Linked DNA regions of Arabidopsis thaliana. The protein of the gene in region 4 interacts with the protein of the main gene of each other region in a pairwise test. Each region holds a gene or a part of one and is shown on either strand. Other genes may lie near its edges.

What was found.
Region 1: the proteins of UBC8 (region 4) and XERICO interact in a two-hybrid assay, tested with the Arabidopsis thaliana proteins (one study listed by BioGRID).
Region 2: the proteins of UBC8 (region 4) and MUB5 interact in a two-hybrid assay, tested with the Arabidopsis thaliana proteins (one study listed by BioGRID).
Region 3: the proteins of UBC8 (region 4) and RGLG3 interact in a two-hybrid assay, tested with the Arabidopsis thaliana proteins (one study listed by BioGRID).

The regions. Positions count from the first base shown.
Region 1 is NC_003071.7:1,458,462-1,466,204, reverse strand, and holds XERICO (RING/U-box superfamily protein), read left to right. Parts: upstream 1-3,260; 5' UTR 3,261-3,392; exon of another isoform or gene 3,393-3,848; 5' UTR 3,849-3,900; coding exon 3,901-4,389; 3' UTR 4,390-4,657; downstream 4,658-7,743. UniProt on the Arabidopsis thaliana protein: Function on abscisic acid homeostasis at post-translational level, probably through ubiquitin/proteasome-dependent substrate-specific degradation.
Region 2 is NC_003070.9:29,280,501-29,288,600, reverse strand, and holds MUB5 (membrane-anchored ubiquitin-fold protein 5 precursor), read right to left. Parts: upstream 3,639-8,100; 5' UTR 3,425-3,638; coding exon 3,295-3,424; intron 3,217-3,294; coding exon 3,040-3,216; intron 2,943-3,039; coding exon 2,887-2,942; 3' UTR 2,519-2,886; coding exon of another isoform or gene 2,438-2,518; 3' UTR 2,261-2,437; downstream 1-2,260. Other genes in the region: AT1G77880 (Galactose oxidase/kelch repeat superfamily protein), read left to right, coding at 1,534-1,926; KOM (Rhomboid-related intramembrane serine protease family protein), read left to right, coding at 4,143-4,453, 4,941-5,104, 5,201-5,364, 5,451-5,719, 5,811-5,937, 6,063-6,185. UniProt on the Arabidopsis thaliana protein: May serve as docking site to facilitate the association of other proteins to the plasma membrane.
Region 3 is NC_003076.8:25,603,544-25,612,503, forward strand, and holds RGLG3 (Copine (Calcium-dependent phospholipid-binding protein) family), read right to left. Parts: upstream 5,764-8,960; 5' UTR 5,484-5,763; intron 5,445-5,483; exon of another isoform or gene 5,384-5,444; 5' UTR 5,374-5,383; coding exon 5,305-5,373; intron 5,226-5,304; coding exon 5,141-5,225; intron 5,055-5,140; coding exon 4,914-5,054; intron 4,829-4,913; coding exon 4,715-4,828; intron 4,636-4,714; coding exon 4,458-4,635; intron 4,381-4,457; coding exon 4,275-4,380; intron 4,198-4,274; coding exon 4,079-4,197; intron 3,964-4,078; coding exon 3,813-3,963; intron 3,711-3,812; coding exon 3,654-3,710; intron 3,547-3,653; coding exon 3,463-3,546; 3' UTR 3,228-3,462; downstream 1-3,227. Other genes in the region: AT5G63960 (DNA polymerase delta subunit 1), read left to right, coding at 1-19, 156-221, 317-373, 501-588, 669-748, 848-961, 1,109-1,223, 1,298-1,470 and 7 more; SAL1 phosphatase-like protein, read left to right, coding at 6,459-6,524, 6,751-6,826, 6,933-7,006, 7,104-7,309, 7,429-7,744, 7,836-7,989, 8,090-8,259. UniProt on the Arabidopsis thaliana protein: Possesses E3 ubiquitin-protein ligase in vitro.
Region 4 is NC_003076.8:16,671,497-16,679,617, reverse strand, and holds UBC8 (ubiquitin conjugating enzyme 8), read right to left. Parts: upstream 3,777-8,121; 5' UTR 3,728-3,776; exon of another isoform or gene 3,565-3,727; 5' UTR 3,547-3,564; coding exon 3,483-3,546; coding exon of another isoform or gene 3,477-3,482; intron 3,136-3,476; coding exon 2,999-3,135; intron 2,837-2,998; coding exon 2,732-2,836; coding exon of another isoform or gene 2,597-2,731; exon of another isoform or gene 2,539-2,596; coding exon 2,395-2,538; 3' UTR 2,109-2,394; downstream 1-2,108. Other genes in the region: AT5G41690 (RNA-binding (RRM/RBD/RNP motifs) family protein), read left to right, coding at 5,429-5,450, 5,543-5,616, 5,709-5,795, 5,919-5,986, 6,056-6,173, 6,259-6,347, 6,445-6,468, 6,557-6,626 and 8 more. UniProt on the Arabidopsis thaliana protein: Accepts the ubiquitin from the E1 complex and catalyzes its covalent attachment to other proteins. Mediates the selective degradation of short-lived and abnormal proteins.

The DNA.
Region 1 (7,743 bases), on a different chromosome or scaffold from region 4:
CATAAAAGTGTACAAATGTTAGTGTACACTACGTAAGAAAGTACTACTTTCATTTAATGGTATACACTATCATGGTTAATTTAATGGTGTACATGATGGTGTACACCATCATATTAATATAAATTTATGAACAATCATTACTTTAATTAATAAATATGAGTCAAAGTCGGTGCACTTAATGATTTAGTATATATTGGATAAATATTGTTGGATAAAATAATTTGATGTATAAGTGTTAGTGTACAAAACTATGTTTAATGCTGGTGTACGAGATTGATAATTGAATATATAGAAATCATCTTGTTTTTGGAAGTTAAAAAATATTAATAAAATTAAAATTAAAAAAAGAAAGATGAAAATAACTATAATATAATAGTTAGTCTAAATATTTAAATACTGGAAAATTAGGACCACACTAAAACTTTCTCATATAAAGCAAAGGGTAAAGTGGTATTTGACAAATTTTTTGTCTTTTACCTTATTACACATAAACTCTATCTCACAAAAAGTAGAAAAGTGTCTATTTCACAAATTTCTAAAAAAACTACTTATTTCTCAAATTATTTTTAAAAAAGTGTCTACTTTATTAAGAAGCCCATATATTAATATATAATGTATATAAATTTTGTACATTGGTTGACGGGTTTTAAAATTTTTGAGCATGTATTAGGAAGCCGTATTACTTTATTAAAATCTTAGAATATATCTAGTTTTCCGAACGATTTGTTCTCGATCCTTAATTCCTTACCATAATTTCTCGTCTCATTACCTTAATCAGAAGCCATCTTACCTATTGTCAATTTGGAATAATTTAAATACTATATCCACTTGATTAACAATTTCTCGAGATTATTTTTAGGGCTAGGCATACATATGGGTAACCCGTTTGTGTTCGGGTTAAATAGATAATTGTAAATATTCGGTTCCGGTTCAGTTTGGATATATCTGGATTCGGATCGGTTTGGCTAATAAGTCTGAGAAACTGTAAATACCCAAAAATCTGGATTCTCTCGGATTCAAGTCTAAATTGGTAAAAATTATCCATTATCCCAAAATGTGTCTCCAATACCCAAACTTTCAAACCAATTTACATGCACAAAACAACAAAAAAATAATAATAGAACTTTAAACTTGACATCCAAAATCTAATCCAAAGTCATAAAGATTAATACTTAGAGTTAAGAGTAGAGAAATATGAATATGAAAACAATAAATTCGATTATCCAAAAATAAAAAACATAGAACTAAAACGAGAAGTAGGATTGTAGTCTTGATGGAAGTTGATGAATGGGTAATTCAATCAAGCATGCAAAAGGTAAGCTAGTGTTAACCCTATAAATGTTTAAAACTATATCTATATATCGTATAAATACACATGTCTTATATCGGGTTTATCGGTACCATGTTTGAGTATCGAGTAATCTCCGACCCGAACCGATATCCACAGGTTTACCAAAACCATACCTAATAAGGTAACTTCCTATTCGTCTAATCCGCTTCAACCCGATTATTTTTATCCGGGTATCGATTTCGATATTGGGTCTGGGTTTTTTTTGCAGCCCTAATTATTTCATTACAAGTAAATTAAAAATATATCCACATCCATCTTTGAAACAATATCTCAATTTCTTAAACTTAAGCAACTACATCAAGATCCACCGTGTTTAAATTGACTTTATATTAAAAACAAAAAGTTTGGTAAAATTAGTCTTCAGCTAGGATAACAACAAAAATATATACTTAGGGTACAAGTGATAGTTTTTGTTAGATGGATTAATATGGTAAACCAAAATATTTATATGCAATTTGCTAAAATTTCCCTTTTTGCATTGAAAATATAAAAAGAAATAGCCTTTAATTACCTGAAAATGGATTTATTTAAAAGAGAAGTTTTTCTGTGTTGTGTTGTATACAAATGAATCAAATCAAATTATTCAGTAAGTTTCCATATTTCATTCATCTTTATTCCATTCATTTTTTTCATATTAAAAGAGAATACAGTCTCTGTAATGGTTTCCGATTTTTTTCCTTAACTAGGTTCTTAATTTGTTTGAATCTTATTGTACTTCCAAAATTAACAAAAACAATTATATTTGATTTTGTGTTTCTATGTTTTTGTTTTTGGTCTTTAAAATCTCCAATATTATTTATTGGCCTTTTTCATGGTACGTAGTTGATAACTTGATACTTAAATAGACTACTAAAGCAAAAATATAATCCCTATTTTATTGGTTTTTAGTTTACTTTCGCTTAAAAACTGAGACATATATTGGATACGAAAACAAAAGGTAAAATATTTTCAAATATTAAATAAAAAATTTAGCTGAAAATTTACAAACTATAAATAACATAATATACCTGAAGCCAACCATATGCTAAGAATATTTACATAAAATACCTTAAATCGAATATAATCTATATGGGTAATTATATCCAAAAATATCACGAAATATTATTTCGTTGATGATAGACTTTAAAAATTGCATATTATGTACAGAAATACAATTACCGAACAGGAATAATTTTTTGATTACATTGACCACATAATATAACAAAACACTAATATTGTTTTGATAAATATTTGATGTTTTAGGAACAAAATACATGATGTTTTCAACTTTCAATATAAAATTAATTAATATACTTTTTTGGGTTTAGAGGTTTCTATTCTGTAAATTGTATTTTTTTTTCCTGTAGATTGTATTACTATTGGTCGATTAAATGGATAATAAATTAATTTTAGTTTGGAAATAAAAACAAATAAATGAATCCTTAAACATCAACTATAAAAAGACAGAGGAGTATCTTTAAAGAAACTTGGATTGTGATATTGCACTGTAAATAGAACATAAAATGTTGCAGTGTAACTTTATTTTAATCAAATAAACAAATGTTAGTAAAAAAAAATATATATGTTGCAAACAAGGATTAAATTCACTAGTAAATTCTCATTAACAAACAAACAAAAACAAAAACAAAAACAAAGATAGTGCCAAGCATTACATATATAAACAATAAAAAGACCCTACTTATTAATATCTTTCCTTAAAGAAACATGGATTATTATCATTTTGGCAGTGTATGAAGTAATAAATATAAACAAAATGAAATAAGAAAATGCAAGCAAGTACAATTGATGATATAAAGTAACCATGGTTAATCAAAAAAACCTGAAAGACTGAAATAGAGTTAACCATAGTTAAGCTTCTCTGGTTAAAAGATAATTGCTTTGCTATATATTAAACAACAATTGGAACCTCCTCTTTTATCAAAACCAACTCTCTCTACACACTTTTTCAGATTCCATCATCACTTGTTCTTTTCACACCCAATAAAAACTTGCATCTTTCTTCTAAATTGTTGATGATCGCTTCTCATATTTGACCCTAGAGGTTCGTACTTTTCTCTCTTTTCACTAAAGTTTCGATTTTTTTCCCCAATTTTTAGCCCCAGAATTGATTCAGAGTGAAGAGATTTCAAATTGGTTTCATAAAGTTTGCATCTTTTAGAGGTTTTGATCTGTGTTTCTTGATTTAGAGTCAGATTTTGTGTTTGGTACGAATCAAAGGCTTGAGCTTTTGGTTTGATGGTTGTAGAAATTGAATAAAGATCTGTTCTTGAATCCTTTTGATACTGATTAGTGTTAATTTGAATTAAAGCTTTGTGCTTTGGTTTCGATTTGCTAAGCTTTAGAGTTAATTTCTGTTTCTGGATCATAATATGAGACCTTCAAGTCTCTTGCTTGCTCATACTAATCATAGATTGTCATTGAAATCTATGTGCTTTGGTTGGAATGTCTTGAAGTTTTCATATGTTGTGAGCTAATAGCCCTTAATGGTGTTTTTCAGACAACATCATTTCTACCGACAAAGATTTGATATCGAATCCAACAAGTGAAAGATGGGTCTATCAAGTCTTCCTGGTCCATCAGAAGGAATGTTATGTGTGATATTAGTTAATACAGCATTATCGATCTCCATTGTCAAAGGCATTGTAAGATCATTCCTTGGCATAGTAGGAATCAGTCTCTCGCCGTCTTCATCCTCGCCTTCTTCGGTGACGGTATCTTCAGAGAATTCATCAACTTCAGAGTCATTTGATTTCCGGGTCTGCCAACCAGAGAGTTACCTTGAGGAGTTCAGGAACCGGACTCCGACACTGAGGTTTGAGAGCTTGTGCAGGTGCAAGAAACAGGCAGACAATGAGTGTTCTGTGTGTTTGTCGAAATTCCAAGGGGATTCAGAGATCAACAAGCTCAAGTGCGGCCATTTGTTTCACAAAACATGCTTGGAGAAATGGATAGACTATTGGAACATCACTTGCCCATTGTGTAGGACTCCTCTTGTTGTTGTGCCAGAAGACCATCAGCTTTCTTCTAATGTTTGGTGACTGCTTTTCACTGTATAGGTTTTTTGTTTGAGTGTGTTTGTTGTGTACAGCTACTTTTACTATGAATTAGGTTGCATCGCGGTTGATTCTCGAGCAGATTTAAACCGGGGATGGGATAATCTGATGTACATATATATATATACCCATGTGTATGGAGCTCTTGTTTGAACACAGTTTTCTTGAATCTATGTGTATGTGTGTGGATTAAGAGTTCATGTTCAGTCTTATGAGCAACTAAGCTAATCAAAAAGTAGTATTTTAATAGTTACATTTTTCGTAACCAAAAAGAAACAAAATGCAAGAAATAGACAAGACATTAGTATCCATAAACGACGTTGTTTTGTTCAAACAGATCAAATAAATAAGACATTAACACCGTAAAAAATTTTTGTTAACCTATTTAACGATATGACTCAAATGGCAAGTCAACAAAAACTTTGTCATTTGTTTCCAAAGTCAACAAAAACTTTACGATTTATTTGTCTTACGTGAAGTTCAAGATTAAATCATCCCAAATTTGAAAGTTCGTGATTTTTTTGACATTTTTCCCCATTAGGAATCAGCTTGTAGTATTGTCAGGTGGTGGAAGATCTAGATTTCAAGGCGAAAATTCGAAAAGAAAACGCCATAAATTTCGTAGCGAATACTTGTTTCGGGGTGTAAAAAAGAAAAGTAAAATTAGATAAAGAAAATATAATGTTATTCAAAGAGTAGAAAAATGTGTATACCATTGAGATTTTAGGTGTTGTGAGTAACTGATATGATATATAACCAAGAAAGTAAATAATTAAATTAGGATAAATGTGATAGGAACAGAATTATGTAATACTCCCTCCGTTTTTATTTAGATGATGTTTTAGGAGAATACACACAGATTAAGAAATCATTTAATCCTACTATATTATTTGGGAAGTACATTTTAAATATAACCTTATTTTTTGTAAGTAATTACATAGGTATGCCATTAGAAATAAAATTTTAAAAGTAAATTAATTCATCTCTTTAAAAATTAAAAAGTCAAATACTAATTTAATTAATTAAATTTAATTAAAAAACGAAATACATTATTAATTTCTAAAAAAGTAACCAATTAAAATCAACTAATTAGATTTGATATCCAAATTATCATATTAATTTTTTATTAATTTTATAGTACACCTCTCATCTTTATATGATTCTATTTTTACGAAAAAATAATATCATCGTTATAAAACAATAATTAGAGTTTTTTCGCATATGCCATAATTTGAATTTTTAAAAACGAATATAAACTGTTCAATACATAAAAAAAATATTATAACGGGTCAAAAATAGATTTAAGAAAATTTTATACTGAGTACTTAGTCACAATTTGAATATTTATATTCAATTTCATACATATTATTTTAAAATTTTATAATCTTATATACTACAATAATTAATAACATATTAGATTTTTTTATGTGTATGATGTGATTCAATTTTTAATACAAGCTGGAAAATCCTAGAATTGACGGGTTTAAATCGATATTACTACAAGATGGTATACTACAGGTGAAACTCTAAAATTAACAATCAAAATACAAGTGTATAATTTTAAACACTAAACAATATAAATAATATCAACAAAATATATACAACTCGCAGTTTACTGTACATTTAAAATCAAATAAAATAATATCATATATTTATAATCATCTTTACAATAAAAGTTTTTAGTTTAACTAAAATATAAGCCTACATGCGGTATACTACAAGTTGAAATTATAAATAAGCAGATTACTTTCACGATGTCTGTACCTTCTCACATACACACCTATCAAAAAGTTAAAACCTTTCAAAACCTCTTGGTATATTCAAATTAGGATTCTTCATTCATGGAATTATTATTCCAAAGGTTTTGTGATGTCTTATGAAATGATTTTGGAAGAAGAGGATGTAAATTTTTTTTTTAAAAAGGTAGTCAGCAAAACATATGTTTTTTTGAGAGTTTTTAGATAATTAAATCACAGAATAGAGTTGGGCATATGAGTAACCCATTCGAGTTCGGGTTTGGGATTAATGGGTATATGATTTACTACCCAATAGAATAATTCTAAATATTCGGTTCTGGTTCCGGTCAGATCCAGTTGGGTTTGGGTCAGTTTGGAAAAAGTTTCAGACCCTAAAAATATCCAAAAAAAATAGAAACGGGAAATTTTTATGTAGATAGCGGGTCTCTAAACAAAAAAAACTTTTAAATTTGTTAAGTTTTAATAAATTTAATTATATTTGAATATATTTTACTAAATTTTGACAAACATAACAAATAATTTTTGAATAGTTTAGTTGTTTGGGATATTTAGGTCCAAAATTAATTGACATATTTAGATTTATATTTATAATCTTAGATAATTAGATAATATTACGATTAAATATAATTAATATTTTGGATATTAAATTAATGTTTGAGTTTTTGAATATTCTTTTTGGGTAACGGATAATTTCCAGACCAATCGGATATCCACGGGTTTACTAAAACTCTACCTAATAAGGAAATTTTCTAAAATTTTAACCCGCCCTAACCCAGTTTTTTGGTTTGGGTATTAGGTTGGTTATCGGGTCCGTTTTTTCGTCAGCCCTATCAAAGATAATCTAATTTAGACCCCAATTAGGTCTATAAATGTAACCAAAATACTATAGAAAGACTAATTCTAAGTTAGGCCAAAAATTAGATCCTCTAATACAAAGAAAACATGTTTCTTACAAAAACAATTATATACAAATTTTACACATTTACTTAAAACTACATATGTTGTATTTATTATAAAAATAACATTTTTAAACAAAGTCAATCCAATGTAGCATTATATGCAAATAGTAAAAATATTGAAAAATATTATGACATCATTTTATACTATACTATTTCTTATATAATTCAAACAAAATATACAATTTAATTTATACAAAATATTAATGTCCGTGCTGTATAGCACGGGTTATGATCTAGTTTTTGTTTATTTCCAAAACTAAAACATCATTTATTATTTAATCAACCAATAGAAAAATAATCTGTACAATAAATTTTGCATTTAAAATTTAAAACATCATCTATTTAAGAACAAAAATAAAAGCTTAGAACATGATTTATAAAAGAACAGAGAGAATATCAATTAGATAGATTTAATGTAAGCTATTGTAGTCTCTTAATTGATAATTATGTTTTTCACAATTTAAGAGAAACAACAATGCAAGAAAGAGAAACAACAATACTTGAACTCCACATTTAGTGGTGAGGTGGTGGAGGATCCGGGTCTCAAGGCGTAAATCTATCGAGAATCCGTCCTAAATGTTGTAGAAAATCTTGGTTTCAGAGCGTAAAAAAGAGAGTAAAAT
Region 2 (8,100 bases), on a different chromosome or scaffold from region 4:
TATAAGAAACAACATTTTTAATTTGTAACACAAATATTATTAACGCTTTTGAATTAATTTGGCATCTTTGAAAATCGATTGAAGATCAATGGACGGTTGAAAAATGTATGTTATTAACGCTTTAAACTATGCAAATTACAACTTAGTTTATATTAGTATAGAAGGTACTCTCCAGCTTCCTTCAATGTATATATAAACATAAAATTAAAGGGTGAGGGAATAATATTGGCCTATAAAAGTTAAGTGTAGAATAACACGAGGACTCGAGGAGGCTGCCTGGCTGCGCCAAGATCTATATATAACAATTACAACGTTTTATTCTATTAGTAGAGAATCATTTTTAAGTCAAAAATAATCGTCCAAGTGAATCAGGCAACAACACACTAAACAACTTGCATTTATAATATTTTCGCAAATCATAACATTGATAGACAAAAAGGTAGTTTAATACTACTTTGTATTATTGTCGTTATTGCATCAACATTTAAATTCTAACAAGCATAGTACATGTTTATGATTGAATTAAAAGTACAAAAATATCTAACATGGGGTCACTTCTAATCATAGTGCTAATCTACTTTATTTATATAAGATCTTGAGTTGAATAGTACTAATCCTCAGTGTTTATAGAGTTAATATATATAGTCATCTAATTCGTTTTAGTTATGTCATCATTTATTAGGTTCCAAAATCCACTTTCGAATGAGCTACAGCCAGTTTTAATGCAAGTATTCGTTAACTATACTAGATTAGTATACAAAGAGAGTGATTATATAATTGTAGACCATTTCTTTAAAGTTATATAATGTGGGTGTTTAAACACGTAAGGCGTCGTGATGCAGAGGCAACTACGAGAAAAAAGAAAAGAAAACCAAACTTTAGGATCAAAAGAAGAGAATCCTTATCCCATCGTTCGTACCATATAACATATTTCACAATCTATTTAATATTCTCTATATATTTAAAAAGAGAAAAAAAAAACTAAAAAATCCGGAAAAAAATAGTTTATTTTTTATGATGTTTAATATCCAATTACTTTTTGGTTGAAAGAAAAATATATATAGTAATTAAAGTGTGCGATTTAATAGCTAAGAAATAAAATACAGTTATTTTTGTACTCATAATTTCATAACAAAAAACAAATTTCAATTTTACCTTTACAAATGAATTAACTATTAATTTTTAAATGATATAAAAAATTTTAGTAACATATTAAATTTAATAAAACTCTTTGGAAGTGAATTAAGAGAGTGGGCTTGAAATCACCAAAAAAAAAAAAGAGAGTGGGCTTGAATCAGTTAAAAGGCCCATTGAGAACCATCAGAATCCCCGAAATCTCGTTCTTCTCCAATTGTTTTTTTTTTCGTAAAAAGGCTTACGATTTAAATTAAATAAAAGAAAAGAATACAGGCCCAGCCCAATAGCATTTTACTGACCCAAATTGTTGAGATTAGCGAAATAGAAAAAAGCATTTGTCGGAGAAGAAGAACTGTGTTGGTCGGTGACTGCCAGAGGATCAAGTCGTCGGTGAAGATGAGGAAGAAGAAGAAGAAGATTGTGTTGAGTAGCACATCTGAAGCTGAAAAGGTTAGTATACCATATCTCCCAGACGATCTACTCTTGAATTGCTTAGCACGCATCTCTAGATTGTACTACCCAACTCTCTCGTTAGTCTCCAAGAGATTCCGCTCTCTTCTCGCTTCCACAGAGCTCTACGAGACCCGACGGCTTTTAGGTACCTCCGAGAGTTGTCTCTATTTCTTTATGACTGAGAGGCGCAACGACCATGAGGTTTATGGGAAAGTTGAGTGGTGTCATGTTGTGCATACGTTGCCCCTATTCAATTTGTCTCGAGCACTATCTTGTTACCACTGTTTGAGTCATTGCTTCCTCATGATCATATATATCATTTTGTTTTCTATATGATGTAGGATTTATGGTTTGAATATGATTGCATAATGCATACAATCGTTTCGAGAACTTGCCATAGCCAATTCTTGATTACATCATGTTGATTTACTGACTTGTGGTTACTAGTTTAACTAGGCTGGAAAAAACAGAGAATTAGGCACTTGAAGGACAAAAGCAAAAAAGGGGTCATTTTCAGAACTAGTCATCCATAATAAACTTAGTGTACTATATAGTCATCCATAATAATCTTAGTGTACTATATAGGTTGATTGAAAGCAACTCATGTTATATCATATTGTCATGTCATACCATCATTTTCCTCACCCATTAACTGATAGTGGACCTACTCTCCATCTTAAGGCCATAAAATGGTGTCCCTTTCTAATCAAAACTTACCCTACAACCTTCCACAATGCATGTGCTGATTTAGTAGATCTGTATAGTCAGACCAAGCTTCCAGATAAATATGCTTAAAGAAAAACACAGTAATTATTTTATCATCACTCAGTTTCTGAAACTCTTGCAGCTCTTTCTTGAAGCAAACATTGTGATGATGAAGTATAGAGCCATAAACAATCTAATTGAGGAAATGCTCAAGCTTGTGTGAAGATGTAGTGATCACAACAGATAAAAGTTGGAGCATTTGTTACTATGTGGATGGATATACATCTCTAAGTAAATATTGTAGTGCTCTAAAGTTATATATAACTAGTTATCTTCTTGTGTTATAACAGGTCCTTTCAAGCAACTCATATTTGCTTTTCACTCATATGAACAAATTTTTACATAATACCTCAATCTTCAACAACACAGTAATTTTTCTTAAGCCATTTTTGATAAACAATGAAGAAGAAAAGGAAGGAAGAAAAACCAAAATCATTCTGGTAATGAAGATCCATGTTGAAGACTTTAAGATATGGAAAGTTTTTTCCAATGGAATAAATTGTATAAAGGATCAAAAATCTCTAAGTGGAGCTACAAAATGCAGCATACACAGTGACTCTTCCTTGGAGGATCATTCTGCAGTTTCTCTGAAGAAACAAAAGAAAACATAAAAACAAAGCTTTGAGATATACAAAATACACACAAAAACACTCAAGAATTGAAGAGAAAATGTATAGAAATTACCTTTTTTCTTCTCAAAGAGAGGAGGACGAAGAACAACATGCATTGTAGTTACAATTCCAGGAAGTTCACCAATAGTTATTAAGGACCTTGCTTCAGAAAGTGTTTTGTTGTTCTCAAGTATCTTCCCACCATTGATGAGCTTAACCTCATTTATCATCTTTGGTGCGTTTTCTTTGTCTGTCCACAACAAGATTTTCAACTTCACCTTTAAACAAATAGCAAAACTTTTGAGAAGAAACATAGAAAATGATTTACCTTTAGGCCATTGAGCAATGATTTTCTCCTTGAGAGATGCAACAGTCATGAATTGACTATATTTGCTTGGACCAATGTCGGTACCATCTGCGAGTCTGAACTTCAATTCTATTAAATCTTCATCTCCCATCTTTAAATTATTACCTCAAGAAAAGATCTCTAGAAAGAAGAAAAGCAGAGAGTTCCGTTGTCTTTGAGCAGAGCCAAATTTAGAAAATAACAATAATTGGGTCTCTTACTCTCTTTCTCAACTTATATAATAACTACCAGAAATCTCAAGATACAGTCATCTCTCCATTTACATTTATACAAATCTGAATTTACCTTTTTGGTTGACTATATACGATAAATTTGCAACGTATATTTAGCATACTAAGTACTAACTATAAATGATTTGGATTATATGATGATATATTAACATAAGCTTTTATGATCACTTGTCATATTAGACGCCAACCAAAACCAACCGTCACGAATACATGAATCATTCCTTGCGTACATTCCACAAACACGATACATTCTTTGCTTGAAAATAGTAATTAATAATGGCTTAATGATACTAATCTTTTTATATGTTCACTGAATCTTTTTTTAATAAAAATAAAATACAGAATCAAATGCGTTGAAAAAATTAATCCAGCTATATCTTTTAAAATTTTGATTTGAGTTTAATACAAATGATAATGACGTGTATAGTAAGCGGTACACGCGCTCTAAATCAATTCCGAACCGGATCGTGAAACGGTTAGCGTTCGGTTTGCTCTCCAATAACATTTTCCCGCCAATTTCTACAAAGTATAAAACAACCCATTCGTCATCATCCCCTAATTTCTCGCTCACCTTCAACAATGGAGGTTCCTACAGAGTCAAAGACGACGCAGATCGATGAAATCTCTCACAATCTCTCGTTTACCACTTCTAACGCCGGCGATTCTAGCTGGGACAAGATCTCATTCTTCCGTCACCGTTCACGGCAAATCAAACGAGACACTTGGCTTGTCTCCGTCTTCGTTCTTCTTCAGATCGTCCTCTTCGCTGTAACTATGGGCGTCAACGATTGCTCCGGGAACTCTCACGGTCACTGCTCCGCTAAACTCCTTGGCCGATTCTCTTTCCAGTCTCTCTCCGAGAATCCTATGCTTGGTCCCTCCGCCTCAACGTAAGTAGCTCTCTCCGGCGGATTTCGCTTTTGGTCTCTGCTTGTAACTGATTTTGGAATCGATCTCTAATTGAATTGTTAGATCCTTTAGAGATGGATTTTGGATGCTTCGTTGCTTAGACCTGTAATTTTGGATGTTTCATTCTGCTCATCTTTTGGATCGGTAACGATAGGTTGCTGAAGTTTGTTGGATTTGGATGATACTAGTTTCCAAGATTGATGAGTTTCAGCTGATTCATAGTGTCTCAATCTCTGATTACAGTGACAACCGACAAGTTCTTGTTTACAATTCTGTGTTGTTCTAGTGTGTGTGTGTGTTTATTTGTGTGGCTCTTGGTGCTACATTCTGTTGATGAAGCAATCTAATTCAAGTGGTGGTTCTTGTGAGAGCTCTATGTTTCAGAAAATTAAGGGAAATAGGGGTAACTTGAGCTATCAAATGACTGATTATAAGCTATGGACTACTTATTTTCTTGTGAGTTTGCAGGTTAGAGCATATGGGAGGTCTTTCTTGGAAAGCTCTGACGGAGAATCATGAGATTTGGCGTATTTTGACATCTCCATGGCTGCACAGTGGATTATTTCATCTATTCATAAATCTTGGGAGTTTGATTTTCGTAGGGATATACATGGAGCAACAGTTTGGACCATGTAATTTAGACTACTTGACTTTTGATTAGTCTGTTTTGGATGGAATCTATCACCTTTCTAATCCACCTTTCTTCTGCTTTTGCTTTGGTTTTGTAGTGAGGATTGCAGTCATATACTTCCTCTCTGGCATTATGGGTAGTCTGTTTGCTGTGTTGTTTGTTCGGAACATCCCATCAATCTCTTCTGGTGCTGCTTTCTTTGGGTTGATTGGAGCCATGCTTTCTGCACTTGCAAAGAACTGGAATCTATATAACAGCAAGGTCAAGGATTTCTTGTGGTTCTGTTTTGTCTCTTGTTATCTTCTTCTCATAGCTTTTCTGATTGTATTTTCTTTTGCTTGGTACAGATTTCAGCCTTGGCGATAATATTCACTATCTTCACTGTGAATTTCCTGATAGGCTTTCTCCCTTTCATAGACAACTTTGCAAATATTGGTGGTTTCATATCAGGATTCCTCCTTGGATTTGTGCTATTGTTCAAACCACAACTGAGACAGATGCCTCCATCTCATAAGGGGAAATTGTTTGAAGATGATATGAACAGATCCACAAGGCTTAAAGAACAGTTTGACAGACCGGTATTAAGGATTATATGCCTGCTCGTGTTTTGTGGAATGTGAGAATTTACCTCAAATCTCTTTTTGGTCTAGTTTTTTTTGTTTTATCTACGCTCTTGTGACATGAAAAAGCTTTCCATCTCTGTTTAGACTTGCCGGGGTTCTATTAGCAGCATGCTGGGGAGTCAATCTCAACCGTCATTGCCATTGGTGTCGCTATGTTGACTGTGTTCCAACCAAAAAATGGAGCTGCAGCGACATGACTACTTCCTGCGAGGTATATTCATCTAAACCATAACCTTTGTTGTGACCCTGAAACTAGAATCTGAGTCTATATATATGCAAATTCTGAGTCTGATTAGTGATTACAACATTGTAAAAAACTATATGTGAATACGACAGGCAATGGTGAGTGATGCTCAGCTAACACTAACGTGCATGGCAAATGGAAAGTTCAGGATATTTCCTTTCACCAATATCTCACAAGCCAGGACAGAAGACCTCTGCACACTCGTATGCTCTTAAAGATGACCAAGGCTTCAACTCCTTCATAGATCTAATATACTCACTCCCACACTTGAATAATTGCATATACCAAAATCACAAATCTCGTAAGATTCTTTGGTCAATTCTGGTAACTTTTGTTTGTAGCCTATAGCCTTAACGGATAAGTGGTAAATGTTTTGTAATGAGACTAATGTTTTGGTTCTATGAATGTAAATACTAAAGTCTACGAAGTTTGGTCCCATATGAGAGGACCCAGTAGCCACATTAGTTTCTTACACAATCCACATCATATCTACGCACACATGACACACCAACAAGTAAGTATAATATTGAGCTTCTTCATTTTTTGTTCTTTCATTTATTTGCTTTAGGAGGAGTGATGATGATAAATAGGTGTGGCTTGTGGGTGTAGTAGAATGAGAAGAAAAGGGCCGGCCTTGACACAGAGATATATATAGATAGGGTCACTAAAATTAATTACTACTATTTTCTAAGGGAATTTTGAATAAATAGAATTGAGAAATGTGCTCATAAACTATATTAAAATATATCAGAAGAAGCCCATACTGTGGACCTAAACCTCATTAAGCTACTCAACTGCCTACGACATCTCTACTGGTTTCATTACTCTTAATGTCACTAAATATGCATTTTACTCAAATGTTTTTGTTGTTTGTTCTATACTAATATTCCTTTTATGTTGCTACAACATATTTAAGTCACTCAATTTATGTCAGTTTTTTCTTCAGTTAGCCATCTTTAATATGTAATTTCGCATAACAATTACAATTACTAAGAATTAGTCTAGATTTTTTCCAGAACTCGTTTTAAATTCAGTTAAGTGGTCTCTCTCTGGTGTATAAAAGCGAAGACCTACTCTGTTTTGTAATCAGTTGACTTTATAACTTTATCCGGTTAATAGGGATGTGAAGCCAGAATTAGAGCGGATGGTGGTTGGGGAAAATTTGGTTTGGCAGCTTTATATAAAGTGTTGTAGTATTTTGGAAATTACCCACAAACCAACACAAGTTTGGAACTCCATCTTCTTCAGATTTTTTTAGCATTTACATACAAAGTCAGTTGATCAAAATTCTTGCATTGTTGAAACAAAAAATTTTAAGTTATGTATGTCCAATATGTATATAAAAACACTTGTTGTGTTCAATGTATAAACAGTACAACTTTCTCCAATCGTTCTTTCTTTTAGTTCATACTATATGATTAAGATCGAGAATTTGGACCACATCAACAAGTAATTAAAAAACAAATTACAATTTTCATGTGCATCAATGATAAGTGGAATATTACAACCACAAATCTCTACCATTTAACGTTGATATGGCATATACCTTTGCATCCTAATTTCGGCTCAACACTTTTACTTTTCTATTTTAAAAAAATATTGAAATCAATCAAACGTATCTTAAGTAGCGGTTCTTGACCCTCTAAATAATCAACTCTTCCATGTATCTCCACCGTCCGATTAGATGATTAGTGGAGTGCTTATCAGTTATTAACTTATCAACTTTTCTTTTCACCCTTTAAAGGTTCTTTTGACCTTATAAACTTGATTACTAGTGTTGATCACATAGCTTTTGGTTTAGGTAAATCGGGTATACTACAATAAAAGTTACAAAACTTTTAACCGCTGTTATAATCTTGTTTTCCCAATCGAGTTTTAACAAAGTCGTAGACGACTCTATAAAGAAAACTACAGTCGTACATATTATTCTCTTTTCAAAATGACTTATCTTAGAGTTCAAAGTCTTGAACACTTACTACTATAAATATATATATATGAAAGACTAAAAGATATATATATATATATATATATATATAAACATTCTCAAATTTCAACTGGAATTCAATGGGAAAATGAAGTGAAGAGACTAATAATGTAATATGAAAATAGGAAGATCAATTTCAAAACGGC
Region 3 (8,960 bases), 8.9 Mb from region 4:
TAAGCAAACTTTGCAAAAGGTTTCCGCATTTAGTTAGATTTTTATTATCCTCAAGTTCCGCAAATTCTGTTGAATGAGTTCTTTCAGGAAATACAACCAATTAATAAATTCAGGGAAGACAGCAGTTTATTAACAAAATGAATAATTTATTTCAGGGTATACTTCCAGAAATTCTCGAAGAGCTTCTTACTGCCCGTAAGAGAGCTAAAGCAGATTTAAAGGTAAAACATTTGATTCCGAAGAAACTCTTGCAGTGTGTGCGTATCTGTATACAGCCTTTAACTACTACTATTGAAACTGGTATTGTCTAATCTAGGAGGCTAAGGATCCCCTTGAGAAGGCTGTTTTAGATGGTAGACAGTTAGCGTTGAAGGTGAACTTCTTTACTGCCAGCTTCTTTAACTTGGTCATTCAGAAAAATGATTACAATCCTCGGAAAATTTCGAACAATATCCTCCCTGTAAATTGCTCTTTTACATTTGTTTTCTATTTTTTCTCAGATCAGTGCAAATTCTGTCTACGGGTTTACGGGAGCCACTGTTGGGCAGTTACCATGCTTAGAAATATCCTCGAGTGTAACTAGCTATGGTATTTCTTTTGTGAAACTGCAACTTTTCTAGACACGTAGCCTTTTAGGTTCGTTCTGATGGATTTGTATCTTTTTGAAGGTCGTCAGATGATTGAACAAACAAAGAAACTTGTTGAAGACAAATTCACAACACTGGGAGGGTATCAATACAATGCAGAGGTACATGTTCATTGAATTATTCGTTGTATTGAAAAGACTTGAGTGAATCATTAAGTTTGCTCTTAGATTTCTCGAATTTGATGGACTATGATGTATTAGGTCATTTATGGAGACACGGATTCAGTCATGGTGCAATTTGGAGTATCGGATGTAGAAGCTGCGATGACCTTGGGGAGGGAAGCTGCAGAACACATTAGTGGAACTTTTATCAAAGTAAGTGATTTTCTAGGAGCATGTCTTAAACTTCTCCGGTTCTCCCTAATCCTTGGGGTAGAGGTGCAAGATTACGTGATTTCTTGAAAACAAAATATAACAGGCTGAATCGTTCTCTGTTTCTTGATTGTGTATGATGTCATAAAGCCCATCAAATTGGAGTTTGAAAAGGTCTATTTCCCATATCTTCTCATTAACAAGAAGAGGTATGCTGGTTTGCTATGGACAAATCCTCAACAGTTTGACAAAATGGACACCAAAGGTAAATCTTCGTGATTTTACAGCCTCTCTCTTATTCATTTCCTGACTAAATTTCAATATCACCGACTTTGGCAGGAATCGAGACAGTACGAAGGGATAATTGTTTACTGGTTAAGAACCTCGTGACTGAGAGTCTTAACAAAATACTTATTGATAGAGATGTTCCAGGGGCAGCTGAAAATGTCAAGAAAACCATTTCGGATCTTCTCATGAACCGTATTGACTTGTCACTTTTGGTGATTACTAAGGTAATATGTTTTACTTGATTTATTGTCCTGTGATGTTTGTATCGCCTGAAAGTGTATTTTAATGATTAAAGCCATCTGTTAAAACTAAAACAAGAATCAAATGGATAATGCTCCTGATGTGTTTCCTCAAATCATAGGGTCTAACGAAAACAGGAGATGATTATGAAGTTAAATCAGCTCATGGTGAACTTGCTGAACGCATGCGTAAGGTTTGTGGTACTCTTTATCTATTTTCGTCTATCATTTGCAGGATTAAGCATTTTCATTACATGTTAAGATAACTCTTGACCGTTTCCGTTCGTGAAGAAACATGTACAAATGTGTCTAGGGGAATTTTCGTTCCTTTACTCTAATTCCAGCATCTCATGGACACTCTCAAACTGAAAAATGGGAGTGCTAAACAATTAAATTTTAATTTTTGGCTTGTATAATATTTTAATATGGTTCTTTGGTCGTCTTTTTATAGCTGCACAAGTGCAGGGATTTTTCTTAAGTCATGCATAATTTTGCTGAATATATGAATTTTTTTTCCGGCTTTTTGGTGAATATATAATATCATACAAAGGTTGCTCTGAAACTTAGATCTGTTTTACGGTGTCTGATGATCTATCATGTGAATATGACAGTGTTTGCTTACATATGTGACAGAGGGATGCTGCTACAGCGCCAAATGTTGGAGATCGAGTACCGTATGTTATCATAAAAGCTGCTAAAGGTGCCAAGGTAGTTTTCATGTCAAGCTTGTGTTAGCTTTTCCATAAGATGTTAAGGTCATTCTCTTCTTCCGTGCTTATCTCATTTTGACGTCTGATAGGCTTATGAACGATCAGAAGATCCAATCTACGTGCTACAGAATAATATCCCTATAGACCCAAATTACTACTTGGAGAATCAGATTAGCAAGGTCAGTTCAACATGGCGTTTGTGTATAAGTTTATTCTATACTCTTTATTCTGGTGATTGTAGGTTAAAGGAGATGTTGTTTTCAGCCACTTCTTAGGATTTTTGAGCCAGTCCTGAAAAATGCTAGCAAGGAGCTTCTCCATGGAAGTCACACGAGGTCAATATCAATCACTACTCCTTCAAACAGCGGTATAATGAAGTTTGCTAAAAAACAACTGAGCTGTGTTGGCTGCAAAGTTCCGATCAGGTACTTTGTGGTCCCTTGCCTATGTATTATCTGTTTTCATATATGGGATCTGTTTATCAATATTCGCTTTTAACTTCAACCAGCAATGGAACACTATGCGCAAGTTGCAAGGGAAGAGAAGCCGAGTTATATTGCAAAAACGTGTCTCAAGGTATGCTGCCGTTTTTCCCTTTCCTATAGACTCTTTGATATATCTATAAAATTTGATACTTTCGTTGTGTTATTCAGTGGCTGAGCTTGAAGAGGTTTTTGGGAGGCTGTGGACACAGTGCCAGGAGTGTCAAGGCTCTCTTCATCAAGATGTCTTGTGCACCAGGTTTGCTTATATTTTTATCGATATCAATTTCTTTTAGAAATCTTTCAGCAGGTAAATAGGTTCTGATCCAATTTCCTTTCTGGATTTCTTATTGGTCTTTTACAGTCGAGATTGTCCAATATTTTACCGGAGAATGAAAGCACAAAAAGACATGGCTGTAGCCAGGCAACAACTCGACCGTTGGAGCTTCTAATAAGTATTTAAGGTTGTTTTTAGCTCTCTCTTTTTTCCATTGGTATCGTTGCTGTTACACTTTCCGCTTGATTTAGAACTTGTAGGTCTCTTTGGAATGTTATAAAAAGGACCTCTTCGGCTTATTTGTACGTAGCTGTTGATTAATACAAAAAGAGAACTCTTCTCGCATATCTCCTTGTTTCGGCAGGCTAAGAATTACATATGAACTACAACTCGAGATTTATGCTTTACAATTCTTCTGCTTGGACTGTACAATGTTCTACAGAAGTATAAACATGAAGCTCAAGTGCTTAACCATATAATTTGTCTCATCTCTAAGAATTTTTCCGAGTCAAGTGTACAGCCTTATCCTTGTTGTTATTGGTTGTCTGCATAGTGGGCATGTTGTGATAACAACTCCGCATTCCTTGCATGTCTTTATTTGAAATAAAAAGTATCGGAGATGTCACAAAATCGATCTAGAAGCAGTACAGTTCATAGAACAAGTAAGAGTATAATTGTTCCTTTGAAATTTTCACATACCGTGTGACCGCAGCTAAAAGCCATGTCCTTTGGATTCGTCAAGCAAATCGGGCATACCTTTTTGAAAAACAAAAGGAATGTAAATCTCAGTATCAGAGAAACTGAGTATACTCATTGACAAAAGAACAGAAACAAAGGCAGAAATAATAGAGTATTTACCGGCACTGTGGAAGGAGCGAGTCTGTCACTTTTCTCTGCAGTTTCTGTCATCTGATTTGGCACCGATCTAACAGCATTGTCACGCTCTATAACCTCTGGTGGTGGCGGGAGTGGCTTGTGGTGCTGATGGGAACTGCGCACTGGTTTTCTACTGTTCATAAGCACAATCAAAGGTTGGTTTAGTTGGCAAAGAATCTAATGCAATAAGACCATAAACAGTGAGTGATACAAGTAGTTTCCAACGGTAAATTTTTTATTGCATTTACTTGAGACTTAATGTAGCCTTGTATTGAAAAGGGATCTCCATGAGAGCTGCGAGTGCGAAAGCAGCCTCCTTCTTAGCCGCATCTTTGTGCTCTGACATTATCTTCGTGAAGTTTACAAACTGTGGAACAAAACACAGTTTTTCATGATTCATGTTTCAGGAACAAAACAGAGCTATTCAGGGTTTTATTATATTACCTGGAAGTTATCGAATTCACGGTGAGGAATATTGTCATCGAATTGTTTCATTGTGTCCCATGGTCCATCTCCTACTCCAACCAAGACTATCGACAATGGGTAATGGCTGGAAAATTTATATCAAACATCATTAGTATACATATGAAGTCTGATCATGAATATGAGCTTATTGAATAGTTTTACCTCGCTGCCATTATCGAGTTCATAGTAGCTTCTTCCTGTGGACTAAGTCGACCAAGCGGCACATCTGGATTTCTTGTGACCTGACCATCTGCGATAATGACGAGAACATGGTATTGCATATTGTTCTGCTCAACTATGTTGATGGCAGCATCAATAACCGGTGCAAACGAGGTAGGACCTGTGAGGGAAGAATACACTGATTAATCTTTACGATAAGAGAGAACAAAACTGCTCCATTTTTGAAAGTTCAAAAATACCGGACAACTTCAAATGTGGGACAATCTCTCTATATCTTTTAACTGCGTTTTCCAATCCGTCGCAGCTTTTGTTCTCGGGATAAAAGCTGAATACATATTGATCTCGCGTTGTTACTGCAGGAAGAAGAAAACATAAAACCATTAAGAACTTTGGTTTATCTTATTCATTCATCTTGAAAGCAAGAAATAAGAAACTAACCATCGCCAAAACCGAAACAAGGTATAAGATCATCTTCATCAAAGGGAGACAAAGTACGACCAATAATCGATATTGCTTTCTCATATGGATTCTGTCTTTTACCAATGGCATGAAGGCTTTTTCTATTGAATGAATATCTCCCTGCAATGAAAATTCAGAACATTAACCAAAACCATTGAATCTTTTCGTAAACATGTGTAGCATTTTTTATCAAATCAAATAATTACCTGTCCACTCATTGCTCTTGGTAAAGTCAATTCCTAGAATCAGATTTGAAGATTCAAGTCCAGCTTCTCTCAGAGAAGTTATCACCTAAAAAGCAAAGTTCACAAGAAATTCATCACTATGAAAGAGACTAAAATCAAGAAATAACTAAGTAAGTTTATGAGACCTGATCCAAACTGCTGAAATGATCAGCAATATACGAAGGTTGCTGATTACGTTTATTGCTCATGTTCATTGAAAAAACCCTGCAGCACAAGAACCTTCAGAAATCCAATCTTTGGAGAAGAAACCAATCAAAATCAAGAATAAAAGATACAGTTACACAAGTGGCAAGTATATATCAACCTGGAGTTTGTTGAAAACACAAAAGACTTCTCGGAATCTTTCTTGTAAGAAAAAACTTTTGTTGGAGATTATCTTCTGTAGGAAGATTAAATTATTAAAAAGATGGCACAAAAGAGAAATATGAACATATAAAAATACTTTAGCAGAAAAAAATGAACATATAAAACTATAGAAAGTGGGTTTTGTTGAATCTTGAAAGTTAGTGGAACGTGACCCTTTGCTTGCGCCGGCAAATAATCAAAACGTATTTTGCTCTCTCACACGCCATCATCAATCTAGAAATCTTTTTTAGTCTTGTCTCTGCGTCATTAATGATTTATCCATAACCCAAAATCATAGACCAAATTTCAACATGATTCATGTGGACAACGTGGCAAAGCTGTAGCTCTTGTCTGAAGAAAATTATTTGGGCTTTTGATTCCCTCAAAATATATTAACCCAGAACCGTTTTTATTGGGCTTCTTCATTCATCAAGAAGCCTTTTTGTATCTTCACCACCTATAAATTCACTTATGTTTCAACCACAACATCCACGTGCGATTAGCCCAAAACTCAACAACCAATCTACGAAGATCACTAAAGTTTTTTATTTTTATGATTTTCACCGTTTGTACTTGTTCTTTCAATTGGTGCCACATGGACCCCTAAACCAACAGAGCAAATATGGCCTTTCTTGATCTAAAATAAAGTTTAGGGTTTAAGTTCAGAGAATAAATAAGTACACTGGTGTAAATGGGAAATTCAAAAAAGTAATAATAATTGTCTCTGCAATCAGAAAATGTGAAGACATATATTTATCTTCTTGAAAAGCGAATGATGTCTATAAATTGTTTTCGAACAGCGAAGGCTCCGCTTCAATCATTTGTAGCAGTAAGAACGAATTCGAGACCTAGAAATTCATCGAACCGTCTCGTTTCTGTATTCGGACGCAAGTCTTCTTCTCCTTCATTTGTTACTCTCAGAGTTGTTTCATCGATGGCTTACGAGAAAGAGCTTGATGCTGCTAAGAAAGCTGCTTCACTCGCTGCTCGTCTCTGTCAGGTTAGGGTTTTTTCGATTCAATCATGACCCATAGATTCTAAAGTTTGATTCTTTAAGAAACCCATTTTGTAAATCTTCCAAATTTCGTTTAACATTTTGTGTTTATTGTGCATTGCATCTGTAATTGGGAATAGATTCTAGTGATATAGTGTAATGGTCCTCTACATACGAAGCTCGTGTAAATCTTTGATCAAAATCTTATCTTTGTGTTTTGGGTTTGTTTCAGAAAGTTCAAAAGGCTTTGTTGCAATCAGATGTGCAATCAAAATCTGATAAAAGTCCAGTGACCGTTGCTGATTATGGTTAGTTTGTTATACCTGTCCCTGATTAGAAAAAGCTCTTCTCTTTGAATGTTACTGAGATTGTTAGGAAATCACTTAATTTGATCTGTCTTGTGTTGAATTTCAGGTTCACAAGCAGTTGTTAGTTTAGTCTTAGAAAAAGAGCTCAGTTCTGAACCCTTTTCATTGGTGGCTGAAGAGGTGAAACTGCTTAATAAATCCTTGTTAGATGTCTCACACTTTACTTATCTTTGAGTTTGTGTTTATGGACTCACATTGTCTAAAATGATCTATATAGGACTCAGGCGATCTACGCAAGGATGGTTCTCAGGATACTCTGGAGCGCATCACAAAACTCGTGAACGACACTTTGGCTACCGAGGAATCGTTTAATGGCTCTACTTTGTCTACTGATGATCTACTTAGAGCCATTGACTGTGGAACATCTGAAGGTGGTCCAAATGGTCGACACTGGGTCTTGGATCCAATTGATGGCACTAAAGGGTACGTTTTAAAACTAACTAGCCTAAAGTCAAATCTTCTTATTTCAGAGAAAATGTAAATTTGATAGAATGTTGAGTCAGATGTTATGTTCCTGACACTGAGCATTTTCATGATTTTAGATTTCTGAGGGGAGATCAATACGCAGTAGCACTAGGATTGCTCGAGGAAGGGAAAGTAGTTTTAGGTGTGCTTGCTTGTCCAAACTTGCCGTTAGCATCCATAGCAGGAAACAACAAGAACAAATCTTCGTCAGACGAAATTGGATGCCTCTTCTTTGCTACAATTGGTTCAGGGACATATATGCAGCTCCTAGATTCAAAATCTTCTCCTGTAAAAGTGCAAGTCTCTAGTGTTGAGAATCCTGAAGAGGCATCGTTCTTCGAGTCATTCGAAGGAGCTCACTCTCTACATGACTTATCCAGCTCCATTGCCAATGTAAATTGCTTCTTTCCTTCCATGTGATTCCAGCTAATAGCTAACTAATTTTCCTCATCCATTTGATCATGTTCTATGTTGTAATATACAGAAACTCGGTGTCAAAGCTCCACCAGTCCGTATTGATAGCCAAGCAAAGTATGGAGCTTTATCAAGAGGAGATGGAGCTATATACTTACGGTTTCCTCATAAAGGATACCGCGAAAAGATTTGGGACCATGTCGCTGGTGCTATAGTTGTTACAGGTAACATTAAAGCTTACTCTCTATGAAGCTAATTTTATAGTGTCGACATGCGGATGTAAATAGATAAGGAATGCAAGGTTGATTCTTCTTTTTGGTGCAGAGGCGGGTGGAATAGTGACAGATGCAGCAGGAAAGCCACTGGATTTCTCGAAAGGGAAGTATCTTGATTTGGACACAGGCATTATCGTTGCTAACGAGAAGCTAATGCCTCTGCTTTTGAAAGCAGTTCGTGACTCCATAGCTGAGCAAGAGAAAGCTTCAGCTCTCTGATTTGTTTTTTTCTCTCGTACGTTCTTTGTTTCTCTGTAACTGTTGTTTCATTTTCTTTCACCGAATTTCACCAGTGAGAATTTCTTCCATTTTCGAAAAAGAAATAAAAATGAAATTCTGTTTTGGGCTAAGTATAAAGGGTTATGTAGAGAATTTAATATGGACCAGTAACGGGCCGTAAAAAGGCCTTTTAAGGGTTACATGCATGATGCACCGACGTACGTGTCTACAGTGCGTAGATACTTTATCTTAATACGAAAGTAAGCGCGTTAAGTAGAAAATCTCTTCATATAGAAATAATTAATATGGTGTAAATAGTTTTTTTTTTTCTTTGGTTATAGTATAACTAAAATATTATTGTGTACCATCTTACAAAAAAATATATATTATTGTGCAACTTTTAGAAATTCGTGATTTTATTCCCAATAATATCCCATTCACGATGAAAGGAATCGTTGAGACTTTGTAAATAATTAAATGTAGTCTAGTGATCTAGTCAAACTTTATAAAGGGGCGATCACAAATCTACTAGTCGCACAATTTTTTTTAATCTTTTCATGTGAATAATATATACTAGCTGCTTTGTTTTTAATCCATGTTACAAAGATATTTTGTGTTAATAATGATAAGTTGTTGATATAACACACAATAACCTGTTTTCAGCGAAAGATTTGACAAGACCTGGCCACACAAAAGGTACA
Region 4 (8,121 bases):
TGTGTTGTAGAATTTATTTACATACTGCAAGTGATCAATGTTCAGCCTCCTGAAAACCGCTATCACGTGCGAACACGGATATCTGTAAAGTTGCCATATCCCACATGTGCAAGCCCGATCGCTGCGATGAACAAAGAATTTCATGTTTCCAACTTGCATCACTTCCGTGACCTGAAACCTCTGTCCAGACTGGTCTAATGGCAGGACATCGTGTGTTATAGACTCTTCAAGCTTTGTCATGACATGTTTAGCATAGACCTCTCTTCTGTTTTTCATTGATTCCTGGAGAAGACCATGTCGCAGTTTGAAAAGCTCTGCCAGGTGATCAAAGATTAGCAAGATACAAGTTGCCTAAGACAGAATTAGACAAATGCCTTCCCTCTGCGTTACTTTCTTTCTGATGCACGAAAAGAACCAACGCCAAGTATCAGCTGACAAATCTTCTTGGGTAGTAATGGCAAACGCAAGTGGGAAAAGGCTGTTTTCGGCATCTAATCCCGCTGCAACCAACAATTTTCCAGGGTATTTACCACTCAAGTCTACTGTATCTACTAAAATGAGAGGTCTGCAGTGAGGAAACCCTTCAACTGACTGCTGAAACGCCCAAAACACAGAACGAAAGGATGCATTTTTGGGATCAGGAAAAAGATCATATTGCCATTCCAAAAGCATCTTGTTAGATGAGCCAAGGGCAGCCATGAACTTGGGCAATACGCTAAAACTCTTGTCCAAATCTCCCAAGATTGCAGAGATCGCTTCCTTTTTAGCCTTCCACATATTAGCATACGAGACTGTGTAGCCAAATGCTTCTTTCACCCAATTGTTCAGCTCTACAATTGAGAGCGAGGGCTGAACCTTTACTAGACATTCAATTTCACCTGCCAGGAAATCTGAGCCCACATCTGCTGGCTTACAAGCATGTGGACCTGTGTATTCTGTTATCTTGAAGCCATTTCCATTCGTTTTAGCTGCCTTGAGAAACCATCTACAGTAGTTCTTGCACCCTGATTGAAAGGTACCCGTAATGGGGATTTCGAATACATTGTATTCACGTTGCCTTCTATTAGAGTACAACTTCACTGCTTTCGCCAGCTCATCTTTACCTCTAAAAATCATCCCAACATGCAACTCACTTTCATCGAGCCATGAACTAGAGAAAATCAACTGCTTCGAGACACTATCACTGACGCCTTCCGTTAGAGTTGGCTTTTTCATTTTCGAATCCTTCTGTGCGACCCCATTATCACCAGAGTTTCCGACATCCGTACTCTCCTCATCTTCAATCCAACCATTATGGTTATCCTCCGGAGGACTTCCTAGTTTAGTATTTCTCCCACTCACATTTACATCTGCATTGACACTACTAGCATCCTCTTGCCGATAACGCTTTCGGGGCACATTACTTTCCAATGGGGACTGATGAGATATAGAAACAGTAACTTCATCAGAAAACGGTTTGATCTCTAAATACACCTCCAGACTGTTGATAGATGGATGGTAGCATGGTACCTCAAGCATCATCTCCAAACTACAATCGTCCACAATGGGCAAACGCACATACTTGACCATCTGTTGTTGAACAATGGAAGGGTACCTACCAATCAAATCAATCTGAAACTTTCCCTTTTCAAAACCAGTAAGTCGATGCAGATCATCCAACAAATTGGATAGTTCGATTTTGCTATCAACTCTGATCCCTCTTGGACTTGACCCTTCATAGAACGGACCATCAGGACCATCTTTAATACAACCATTCCAATAGCAGAACAACGGAATCTTTCTTGTATCCATGAACACCACAAAACCTTCAAATAGAAATAAACCCTAAAGATTAGGTTTTTTTTTGTTGTTGATGCAAAATGCGACATATATGAACTGTGAGTGAGGTTAAAGACTACAAATTTGTACTTAGCACTGTGAAAAATGGTCACTTTGCAGAAGAGAGTTTTTGTAATTTTACCTTTTCTTCCGCCGCCGGCTTCGGTGACTTCGTCGGCAAAAGACAACAGTTTGGTAAAATGGTCTGTTCTTTTTTTTCTCGTAGTTAACGACGGTGTGTCTACGAGATAGTGATTATAAGCTACATATTTGTGGTAAAATAAAATATTGGGAAAGAAAACAAGTCAATGAATATTCCTGACAAAGAAAAAATGAAATGAACAACAACACAATGTTTCTCATCACTCACTAGTAAATAAACTTTAACAAATAACCTTCAAGCTTTAGAATTCCATCTTCAAATTTCAGATAAAGATGATGATAATAAAACCCATAAACATATATAGTACAGACGAAAAAGTTGATATTTTAGACATTTTTATTAAAGTTAAAACAAGAAGAAGAAAGAAACAGACATGAAAACATAAACAGGTGCTGAAGCATACGAATCTTTGTTTAGCCCATGGCATACTTCTGAGTCCAGTTTCTTGCAGTAGCCTCGTATTTGGCTCTGTCGGTTTTGTACATGTGTGCAATCTCTGGTACCAAAGGGTCATCTGGATTTGGATCTGTTAACAGCGAACATATCGAGAGCAACACCTACCAATTGCATAAACATTTCCATTAAAACAGCTAAAAACTAGAGATGATGATCTTACTACATACACAAACATTCAAGAAGCAAAGCTTGTGCATTGAGCAAAATCCTAGCTGAAAATGTAGATGCTCTTGCTATACTTTTGGAACATAAACGAACATTGGAGAACCGATGTTTCTGAAAAATGAGAGTCACCTTGGAAATGGTGAGGGCAGGGCTCCATTGTTCTTTCAAAATGTCAAGGCAAATGCTTCCGTTGCTGTTGATATTAGGGTGAAACACCTTCGTCCTAAATGCAACCTGCAAATAAAAACAAAACAACCAATAAAAGTGTCAAGATTAAGCCAAGAAATTGATTTGATTTGGGGGCAAATACAAGTTTTAATTAGGTCCAAGAATTTCAAGGAACTCTACTAAACCTAAAGTTCGTGGTAATCTAAGAGTTGTTCCAATATTGAATACCTTTGGTGGTTTGAATGGATAGTCCGGAGGGAAGTGAATGGTAACGAGAAACACACCGCCTGAATACGGACTCTCTGCAGGACCCATAATTGTAGCTTGCCAATGAAACATGTCTTCAGCAACTGGACCTGCAAAAACTAAAACATAAGCAAAAAAAACACCACAAACCAAAGAAGGATTCTAGTATTCTACATTTCTCAACTCTTCTAACTCTGATTAGTCTAATAATTAGAGAAAAGTAGAAACTAATAAACTGAAATTCATCATAAAATCTTAAGATAAACATAAGCCAAAACATAAGTAGACAACACCACAACGCAAAGAAGGATTCTACATTTCTCAACTCTGATCAGTCTGAAAAGTAACTTTCACCTTTGTGATCTCTAGAATGCTAAATCTCTGGCATATTACCAGATAATCATAGATAAAGTAATGGATCCAACAAGAAGGAGAAAGATTTGAGATTTTTGAAGTGAACCTGCACTGCAGGAGGTTGGAGGGTCTTTCTGGAGATCCTTCAGCTCCTTCAAGATCCGTTTCGAAGCCATTTTCTCACTGAGAAACCCCTACAAAAAGTAATCCAAGTTAAACCTAGATCAATCCAGCTCAAATCCAGAAACTTTTTCTAATCTGATTGAATCGAACAAGAAGAGACGAGCTTTTTGAATTCCTACAAAAGAAGAGAGCTTTTTCTCGTGTGGGTTAATCAAAAGGAGAAAGCTTTGATACCTCAGAAAGAATCCTCCAAATTTGGTTTTGCGATTCACTCCTGCAGATGATTGGAAGAAAGCAAAACGAAAGAGAAAGTTTTGGTTTTTATGCTTTAAGAAACGGAAGCGAATAATTTAATTGGATAAACTATGATTTATTTTAGTAATAATGGCTGCTTAAGAAATATCTGTAAACATTATAATTTTAAAATACTATCTAATTTTTTTAAGAAATTATAAAGGGTGGGCTATATTTGATTTGACCCCACTTAGATTCCAAATGATTCTGAATCACGATGAATTTTCAATTGTAAAATTGTCCTCTTTGGTACATATTTGATATTTCTCTATTTCTATAGCCAAGTGTAGAGATATGAACGGCTGATTATATTTTTGTAAAAAATAAAAAATGAAACCAGATAACCAATCATAATTAATGAAATTTTATCTAGTTTTTGTGACATGATTATTTTAAATCTCTATCTCAAACTAATGTTTTATGATTCTAATTTATCCATACTAATTACATTTTATCAATAGAATGTAAATTTTATTTTGGAAAAAAAAGAAGTAAAATATCTTTAAATTTTGTAATCTCACAATAGTTGAATGTCATATTATGCGAGTCATCATGTTGTCATAGTGGGATTTGTATTACTGCAAATATCTAATGAACAATAATCAACGAATTAGTTATGGACTAATGAAAAGATAGGATATGCATTAAGATAAACTGGATTTGGTGAAAATTTAATAAGATAACTGGGTTTGGTGAGAGTGCGAGACTATTTGGCTCGGTTCAGTTTTATTCCAATTTCAAAAATTCCAATTTGGCTCGGTATAGTTCGGTTTATATCAGTTTCTATATTTCAATTTGGGTCGGTATAGTTCGGTTTATGTATTCATTCTTTTTGAGATGCGCAACAAGCTCTCACCGTTTCTCCTCCGCCGCTACCACAATTTGCCGTGGCCATGGGAATTCTCAGATGAGAACAATGAGAGCATTAATCGAAAGAGTCTCTCGTCTTACTCTGTGATCAATCTCTCGAATTCTCCTTACCGATAGATGGAGACGGTGTTTGCTTTTTGGGTTGTTTTCCGGTGATCGCATCTTCAATCAGTGGTGGTAATGGAATGGAGAAAGTTTCATCACGGAGATATGCTTATCTGGAAACTCTTACTCATGAGATTAAGATGAAGTTTACACGGGTTTGCCTTTCTTTTTAGTATTTTTTTCGCAAAAGATCGATTTGTGTCGATTGGTTTTGATTTTGCCCAGAAAACACTATTTGATTTCTCTAATTCGAGACACATGCGTTAGGTTATCGAATTTTGATATCCTCAATGAATACTTTTGTTTCAATTTTGAATCGTTACGGTTTCCGATTAAAATCATCTTTATCATGCAATCCACAGGTTGAGATTGTACCTGGTCTCTTGCTTTTTAATCGGAAACTATGAATTATGAATTCCAGAACAAACACACTGGGCTGATTTGGAGGTAGACGAAAAAGAAGAAGCATGTTGGGCCTTGGGCCTCTTAAGCAGGTACAATGAAAGCCCAGCCCAGCCCAAACCAAAACATTTCCTTTGATTGTTTTCTATAAATAAAACGTAGCTTAGGGTTATTTACTTTACAACGTATTGCTTGCGCTCAACGGACTCTTCCCGGAAAGAAGACATAAACCCCTTTAAACCTCCTGCTTTCATCTTCTCCGTGATGGTCAAATCTAACTCCCAGGGTTTGTTTTTTTGGTGGTTTATGATCTCTTATCTAATGTTGTTTTATACCAACTTACTTGGTTCTAAGAAGTTTTTGCTACTCTTCCTTTAGGTAAGCGTAACCCGCAATATGGTTTGGAGGCCAACCCAATTCTCAAGAGACATAAGAAAATAAACAAGAAGAAGGTAAACCTCATATGTTCGGATTCCTCTTCTTCTTTCAGACCAATTTTCTTTACTCTGCCTTTTTCTAATTGCGGCTACTCATGTAACAACAGGTGACAACGAAAGCTATTGCTTTTAGTCTCCAGCAGAACGACTTGTTGGTGACAAAGTCTGATCAGGCTAATTTAATCTCAGTCAAGGTTTAATTTTTGATCATTATAATGTTGGACTGTTTGTTACATGTATTGTACAAGTTTTATGTTCAATTAAGCTACTTTTTTTCGGTTTGTTATGCAATTTAAGACTTGCCTGTTAATAATCAGGAAGCTGCAGTAAGAGAGAAGACGCTCTTTGTTGCCAATCTCCCTTATGAAACTAAAATACCAAATATGTAAGTAGTACCTTTAATTTCCTCTGTTCTCGGATCCAGTTTTTCATGACTAATCATCTACTTTTGCAGCATCGATTTCTTCAAAAAGGTTGGAGAAGTTGTTCGTGTTCAACTTATTGTAAACCTCAAGGGTAAGCTTGTGGGTTGTGGCTTTGTTGAGTTTGCTTCTGTTAATGAAGCAGAGGAGGTGAGGGTTTTTTATAGTAATGATGAAAAATTGTACGAGTAGTTATTTGAAAGTAGGATTGCTGATTAAATCTTTTTTGTTGTAGGCGCTGCAAAAGAAGAACGGTGAATGTTTAGACAATAATAAGATTTTTCTTGATGTGGCTAATAAGAAAGCTACATACCTTCCACCCAAGTAAATTGATTTATGTAACACTGGTTTTAACTCATTGCTAGAGTTTTGATGCCATTACAGTAAAGACTAACGCCAATATTATTTTTTTGCTAATTAGGTATTGCATAGATCACAAGGTTTGGTAAGGGATTATACTATTTGCCTTTTGAGCACATTAGGTGAAGTTTTTGGTATACGTGGAGAGATCACAAGGGTTTTTGATATTCCAGGGACAAAGACTACCGTAGACTAGAAAGCCATCCAATAGAAGAAGATGAGAGACCTCCTAATTCTGTTGAGGTACCTGTTCTTATTACCTTCAAAATAAGTCATGCTTAATAACAGAACTGTTGCCACAAAGTCGAAAGATGACTTATTTGGGAATGAGTCTTCAGATGAGGCTACTTTTTGTTGTTATGCAATGAAAATCTTTTTCTCCTTACAAATCGTGCTAACACACTTGGTTGTTAAATTCAGGAAGTACTCTTTGTTGCCAATCTTTCTCCTCAAACTAAAATATCAGATATGTAAGTACTACTTTTAATTTCCACTTTCGTTCTCGGGGCAAGTCTTTTCATGACTGATATTCTACCCTCCACTTTTACAGCTTCGATTTCTTCAATTGTGTTGGAGAAGTTGTAAGTATTCGACTTATGGTAAACCATGAAGGTAAGCATGTGGGTTATGGCTTTGTTGAGTTTGCTTCTGCTGACGAAACAAAAAAGGTGAGAGTAGTTTTGTAGTAATGATGAAAATTGTATTAAAAGTAATTTGAAAAGTAGAGTATAGTTATTTGAAAATACGATAGCTGATTAAATCTTTATACGATAGGCACTGGAGAACAAGAATGGTGAATATTTGCACGATCATAAGATTTTTATTGATGTGGCTAAGACAGCTCCATACCCTCCAGGACCCAAGTAAATAGACTATCCATGTTTTGGAGATTTTTTTCTGTAACACTGATTGTAACTTATTGCTAGAGTTTTGATGCCATTACAGAAGACTAACCATATTATTTTTGTTAATTAGGTACAACCTTGTAGAGAAGCTTTGGTAAGGGATCTAACTATTTTCTGCCTTGTGTTTTGTTATCAAGAGCACATTGGGTGAAGTTTTTGATATACATGGAGAGATCACTTACGGTTTTTGATATTTCAGTTACGAAGACTACCTTCGACGAGAAAGCCTTCCGATAGATGAAGATGAGACACCTCCTGAATTTGTTGAGGTACTTGTGCTTACTATCTTCAAAATATGTTAGCGTTTAATAAACAGAAATGTGCCACAAAGACGAAACATGTGACTTATTCTGGAGATGAATGATGAATCTTTAGATGTGGCTACTTTTTCTTGTTATGCAATTAAAGTCTTTTTCTCCTAAGAGTCGTGCTAACACACTTGGCTTTAAATTCAGGCAGTTGGCGTAAGGAAAAAGACGCTCTTTGTTGCCCATCTCTCACGCAAAACTGAAATAACGCATATGTAAGTAGCACCTTTAATTTCCTCTTTCGTTCTTGGAGCAAGTTTTTCATGACTAATATTTTCTTCTCCACTTTTTCAGCATAAATTTCTTCAAAGATGTTGGAGAAGTTGTTCATGTTCGGCTTATTCTAAACCACACAGGCAAGCATGTGGGCTGTGCCTTTGTAGAGTTTGGTTCTGCTAACGAAGCAAAGATGGTCAGAGTTAGTTTTACAGTAGTGATGAAAAATAAGTAGTCATTTGAGAAGTACGATTGCTGATCAAATCTTTCATACTGAAGGCGTTGGAAACGAAAAACGGTGAATATTTG